2 linked regions of the Saccharomyces cerevisiae S288C genome follow. Changing the gene in region 1 together with any one later gene gives a genetic interaction. Each region holds a gene or a part of one and is shown on either strand. Other genes may lie near its edges.

Region 1 (3,382 bases):
CCTAAAATGGACCATCGTTTCACTTACTAGCCGTTGTTTACTAAGATATAGTTGTATACGGTGTGGAGGATGATAAGATCATTGGACCAATATAACTATATAAATGTCGGCACCAGTTTAATGGAACCTCGAATGCAATTACTGATAACGGAATGGATTAAGAAATGATTAGGTATGAGGTACTCTTATAGTATGTAGAATTTCTGATTTGCTTATGTGTTCATTTATTCTCGAGAAGAACCCTTAGTATATTCTGTGTCCTAATATTACAAAAAGTCAATGAGAGTCTAGGGACTATCAGATAACTTCACTGTGCTCATCTTGATTCCTGTTCTAACGACAGTAACACAGGATACGGTTAGTATTTTTTTGCCAACCTGATCTGTGAAAGAAAAATGTACCTGTCAATTCGGTTCTTTTTTGAGGCCGCTTTTTCGTATAGTCGTCATCGATTGGATATTCGTTTAAGAAATAACGTGCTTGTTCATCGATTTCATCTATGATTCCATTCCATGTGTATGTATATATACGTAGTTACATATAATAATATAAATAAAGATTTGAAATAAATATGTCGCAGAAAAGAACTTTGCTCAAGATTTCATTGCTCGTAATGTTGTTTTTCCTAGGTTGACAATTTTGGACGAGGCTGACCAATAATTATTCATATTTCATTTTGGACAATGGGGCATCGGGGCCTAAGTAGGTGCCAAAAACTTCGTCCCAAAACCAGGATGTGACGCCAAATCCCAGTTGGTAGTTTTTATAATGATGTTCCAGGTGATATTTTTTCAACTTACGCATGAAGGGAGGCAATTTAGAGTGGTGCAAGAAGAAATGACATTCGTCATAACAGACATAACCGAAAAGACCGCCAGCAAAACCAGCGTAAGCCCAATAAAGTGGCAGCAGAGCAAATACCAACTTGTAAAATGGAGCACAAAGGATGACGAACAGAGTAGGTGGCATAACTAAACGGTACTTGTCCATGGGCAAGTAATGATGGCAACCATGTAGTAGAAAATGTGTGGCGAATGCGATGTTACTTTCAGGTAACCAATCATCGAAATGAAATAGGAAACGGTGAAGACCGTATTCAATCAAAGTCCAAACAAAGACACCGACACAGAACAAGAAACATGCAAATAGCTGGTTCATGTTCTTCAAAGCAACACCCATGTGGTACACAACTACAGGCAACCAAGCAACTGGAACAACCCACCAAGCTGTTTTAGTTAATGGTTCCAAGAAATTACCAAATAGCGGGGCAGACCCCTTACCGTAATGTCTTGGTCTATGGATTTGGTCAACGTAAAAATCTTTCTTGAAATCACTACGCAGAATCTGCATCAGCAAAGGACGGTTCAGATCCAAAAATTTATGCTTTTTGTAGTCGTTACTGTAGTCCGTAGCAATACTTAGTTTCTCCTCGGCGGGCAACTCCTTTACAAAAGTAGTGGAGTCAAACTCAGTACCGTCAGCTGACAACTGCACTTCAACCTTATGGTTCTTGTTAGTCAACAATCTCGCTGCCTCTTCGTCAGTTGCCAAGTAACCAATCAAATATTCGTCCTCAAGGATTTCATACGCGGAGTCGCTGTGTTCATGCACATCTGAGTCTTTCATGATCTCAGTAATGTCCTTACCAGCATAGTCCAAGATGGACTCGTCACCACCAGGGTGTTCGCTCAAAAACCTGGTCACGTCATAAATCTTTCTGTTTTGATAAGTGACCCAGCAGTCATTGGCAGTATTGTGTTCTTGTACCGTCTTTTTTGAAAACAGTTCCAAAGTCTTGGAAGTATTAGTCGACATCTTCGTACTAGTTTTAGCTTACCACCGCTTTTAGTGCCTGCCACGATAACAATAGAAAAAAAAACTAATCAAAGACAATAGACACAATAGCTTCTACTATCTAATACCTCTGTTCTTATACGGTTCCAAATTGAAAAAAAAATTAACTGCGAAAAGATGTCACACGTCAGTAAATCCGCGCAAAACCCCGTTATATTTCCGACGTCGTGCGGTAGTTTCTGCGCGGAACGGCCCCGCGGAATAGGCACATTTTCTTCCGGCCGCAGAAAGCTCTCTTTATCAAAAGCAAGACTGTTTTCGGCTATTGTATTATGAGAAGTTTGGTGTTTGTCCAACTTTCCCTGTTGTCCTGGGAAATATTCTGTGGGGAACGTAGCTTTGTGAGCATGAAAGCTATCTTTTCGTGTATGTACGTGTGATGTGTATATGTCTATGTATGCAGCGCTGAAGCCTTTTCAGGGTTGTTGTTGTTGTTGTTGTTGTTGTTCTTTGTCGTGGGCTACCTGCTCCATGTACAGAGTGTGATTAACCAAGTTCAGATAAGCATACATGAAGTTACTTAGTAATACCTGCTCGCGCAGTCCCCTCTTCGAATTGCTCAATTTCAAGTGACTCAGCCGGTATATGGCCCTTTCGACGTTAATTGGTAGACGGTGGTCGAACATGATAACCGTAGACACTGTCAGCAAAGGCAGTGGGAACCCAAAGGCACTGTCTGTGAATTGAACCGGGGAGTTTGGTTTGTCAGGTTTTTTGACGTCTGCAAATGTAAGCTTTCTTGGGGGCAATATGGAGGTATGTTTCAATGGTGGTGCCGCTGGAGCCTGAGTTTGAGCTGAAGCTTCAACTGGGGCTGAAGTTTGGACTGGGGCTGAATTTTGGACTGGGGCTGAAGCTTGAACTGGGACTGAAGTTTGGACTTGTTCTTGAGCTGGAGCTTGTAGTTGAGCTTTTTGCTCATCGGTATTCTCCTTTTGGACGTGTTTGGAGTGTTGTTGGTTGGAAATTTCTGTCGTATTGCTCCTCTTCTTGTTCTTTTTCTTTGCCTCCTCTTCTTCTCTGTCTCTAGAGTTACTTTTGGTACTACTTACACTAACGGCCGGCTGTAGTTGGGGCAAGCTCTCGGAATCGCTTTCCTCTTTCTTTTCTATCTCTATTGCGCCTTCCAATTGTGGTTGTAATGGTATCTGCTGCTGCGGCTGAGAATCTTTAAGGGTTTTTACGCTTATTTTTTGGGAACCATGACGGCTGTGATGGTGACGGTGAGGACGAGGGCGATTGCGCAACACAATGGGTTCAACCGGCTCCCTTCCACTTTTGTTACCAAGCTTTTTGCTTTTCCTCACGCGAACGTGCACGGCATCGTTATTTGGTATTGATGGTGACGATGATGGTGACGACGAGGGTGATGATGATGCATCATGCTTGTGGTGTGGCTTTCTTCTGAATAGGTTCGCAAAAGTTTTCTCGATTTTCTGTCTTGTCTGTGATGTGGCGGTGGAAGTACTTGAATTGTTCATTTCTTCTTTATTTGACACCTCCGTCTTCTCACCGCCATTAAATAGAG
Region 2 (3,383 bases), on another chromosome or scaffold:
TCAACCAAGAAAGGCCCAAAGACTACTACTTTGCAAGCTATTCTGCAGACCAAAAGCTGCAATTCCAACAGAGCTCTATCGACTATGATGTGATAATACAAGAAAGTACAAAAATTCTGGAGGATGATCTACGTATTCGTGATAAATGGCCATATTGCCAGGGTCGAATAATAGATCTGTATAAGCACAATGCGAGAATAGAGTTAGAGCAGCAGAAGGAATTGAAGATTAAAAAGAGGAGACCTGGTCAAAAGCAACGTGCAGCCAAAAAACTGGCACTTGAAAGAACCAAGGAGCGTGATACCAAAGCTCGTGAGATAAAGAAACAGTTGAAGAAAAAGTTTCATAAGCGTGGTGGAAAGAAAAACAAAAAAAAGGTACCTTTGAACCCACTGGCAAAAGCTGGCAGTACCCCTAAGTTTAGGACAGAATGACCACGTAAATGTATATATATACATATTAATACTTCATATAAACTAACCGATATTGGATTTCTCATAATAACTATTACTAGTATAATCTTTAATAATATAAACAAATATTACATTTCATGTAATTTTTATTAAACATATGCACATGCTATTGAAAATTGCTTTAGATTCATCCTATTTCATCAACATTCTTAATTTTATGTAAACTGTCTCACTTATTTAGAGAAATAGATACTGAGTTTAGCATTACATCCAAGTAGCTTTGGTAATCACTATTATCAGAAGATTTTTTCATACTTTGCTTCATAGTGTTTATAATAAAATCTTTATTTTTTAACAGCGACTTGCCCACAGGGCCTCCTCTATTAACAGATATATCAAAGTCCTTTTTGAAGGCAGATGAAACTTTGCTCCAAAACAGATCTCTCGGTGTACCAGAACCTGCTTTACTCTTCATTGAGGTATATTCTGATAAAAGATTGCCAAGGCGTGATTTATTAGCAGCAATAGATCTCGAGGAATTCGTAACATTATCCGTTTTGATGTTCTGTAGTAGTGTTTCTAAAATGTAGATGTTATAACCTTTTTCAACAACTTCATTGAACGCATCAGGAAACATCCTGATAGAATTTAAAATTTTTGATAGGATTTGTGAGCTCATTGTAACATTAGATAGTACAATCTTGTTTATTGCAGACTCGAATTCTTGAGATGAAAGTAGATATAAGGAGTAGGCCAGCTGAGATATTATTTCTTTGTTCGATTTGATTTTAATAGAGTTCAAGCACTCTTTACACATTTGTAAAGACAAAAATGTTATTAACTCTCTTTTGTTGGGGGAAACAATGTCCTGATCTAATTGTTTAATTTTCCGCAAGGATTTTAGATTTTTATTTTCTTCCAAAGTAATTTCAAGTTGGTAGTGTAAGGAGGCTAAATTAATAGCTGTTGATGTGCTTAGTTGGGCTGTTTTAGACAGTGCGTTTAATTTGTTTGATAAATGAATATAAAGCAATGCTCCGCGCAAGAGAAAAGATGTTTGGTAAACTTTACTCAACGCTAGTTGGACTTTCCTCGCTCTTTCATAAGGATCTAGAACTTGATTCTTTAGTCTATCGTACGACATATTCATATATCCCAAACTTGGTTTCAACTCACCAACTATGGTTGAATTGACGTGTTCATTTTTGTAAATTAACTCTATTATCTCCAATGGGTTGCTATTCATCAATTGGTCTATTCTAGAGTCAATCTCATGTAGATCATAGTTTAGCTTTTTAAGAGGCGTGTTAAGGTCTAAAATGGTTGTGTCATTGTTATTAGTAGCCTTCAGTAAGTCATTACCAAATTGTTTAGCATCAAAATCAGGCTCCAGCAGAGACTCAAAATCTTCTAAATCGTTTGCCATTGGCGCTATTGTCATACCTCCAGCTCTTTTCTTCTTTTTTGTTACACATTTTTATCTTCCATATCTATTCTAGTTGATTTTTTTTTTTTCATAGTATTCAACCAAATGGAGAAGTTTTTAAGAAATACGTCTTTGAAAGGGAGGCATAGAATAACAAGGTAAACCCATTTATACAGGATTCCCTCATACTATATTAGCTTATTTCATTCCAGGGGGGTTCCCTTAAATATAAGAATAATAAGAATAATGATATAAAATTATATGTCTAACAAAAAATTACAAAATTTGAGTAAATAAATAAAGAAAAAATGTGAGAGTGGCAATCAGCCAATTTTATGTTTGATATGTTGGCATTGTATTGGGCGGATGCCCATGGATACACTTATAATGTAATAAGATATTCACTTTCGTACAGGTCACAGACTAGCTGAAAAAACCATGACAATCGTTAACCCCTATTGATTTCCTTTCAAAATTTCTGGCCTGTTCATTTAGATTGGACCTGAGAATAACCACCCCAAGGATTAGCATTCTTCGACTTCAAATATTCGTCACTCTTTAGCTGCCACTCCTTATTCATGGTCTTTGCGTCTTGGCCACCCGCCATCCTGACGACAGCAAAAAGTCCCACTGAAAATAGTAGGCCTGCAGCAACACCTTTGGCAATAAAACTGGAATCACCCTTATTCAATACAGGTCTTCTTGGGCCCCATTCTCCGTAAGAAATGTACCACACAGCTTGCTTTTCAGGCTCAGTAAGCTGTGCCCATGGTAATTTTTGACGTTCACTCAACTTACTGACAATATCCTGCTGCTCAGTGGAGGGCATGTTCTCCCATCTGGATTGCAGATCCATTACAGCAGCGTTGGAAAGAGCATGTGTTTGAGCGAATCTTACGGATGTAATACGTGATAGTCCACCAGCTCTAGTAAAAGTGTTACGTAACATTGTAGATGCGTTCTTAGTTGATCTTGTGTTTGGTGCATTGCTTGCAAACAGAAGACAAAATACGAGGACTGATGGTTCTTATTTAATTGATTGTTCTTTTTAACTTTTCGCCGCCGCTTGTATCGGCGCAAAACGTAGGGCCAATCACAAACGAGGAAAACGTCTATTGGACGATTTTTGCAATGTGACACTTACAATGATGAATAATTACTATGTAGGCAGAAGTGCTAAGTACATTCTATTTAGAAGCGTAGGGAGGCGGTCTGCCTGCAGATCTGATAGTCATAAAGATTCTTTTGGGAGATGCTGTCCCTTAAGGAAGAAACATCATCTGTTCCGGGGCAGTAGATATTGATTCGTTGTCCACAGAAGCTTCCAGTGAATCTGCGGGTTGAGACAAACTTTTACAGTGCTCATCATCTTCCCCGCGTTCTGTGGCCAGTGCGGTCCTTGCTCCAGTCAACGTAGCAGGAGTTCTTGGCGTTACTTCCGAAGAATTGACAGAACTGTCATTCGGCGACGATGATAGATTCGTTACCATGGGAAAACTTCTAAAGGACGCAGAAGAGTAGGACTTCGTAGTCGAGGAAACTTC

Evidence for each region. A genetic interaction does not mean that the proteins touch.
Region 2: mutations in SCS7 (region 1) and COG5 together harm fitness more than expected from each alone (negative genetic interaction), as found in Saccharomyces cerevisiae (5 studies listed by BioGRID).

Annotation. Positions count from the first base shown.
Region 1 is NC_001145.3:808,963-812,344, forward strand, and holds SCS7 (fatty acid alpha-hydroxylase), read right to left. Parts: upstream 1,816-3,382; coding exon 661-1,815; downstream 1-660. Other genes in the region: YMR272W-B (uncharacterized protein), read left to right, coding at 2,127-2,234; ZDS1 (Zds1p), read right to left, coding at 2,271-3,382. UniProt on the Saccharomyces cerevisiae protein: Ceramide hydroxylase involved in the hydroxylation of sphingolipid-associated very long chain fatty acids. Postulated to hydroxylate the very long chain fatty acid of dihydroceramides and phytoceramides at C-2.
Region 2 is NC_001146.8:531,130-534,512, reverse strand, and holds COG5 (Golgi transport complex subunit COG5), read right to left. Parts: upstream 1,855-3,383; coding exon 643-1,854; downstream 1-642. Other genes in the region: YNL050C (uncharacterized protein), read left to right, coding at 1-434; COX5A (cytochrome c oxidase subunit Va), read right to left, coding at 2,327-2,788; tyrosine/serine/threonine protein phosphatase MSG5, read right to left, coding at 3,102-3,383. UniProt on the Saccharomyces cerevisiae protein: Acts as a component of the peripheral membrane COG complex that is involved in intra-Golgi protein trafficking.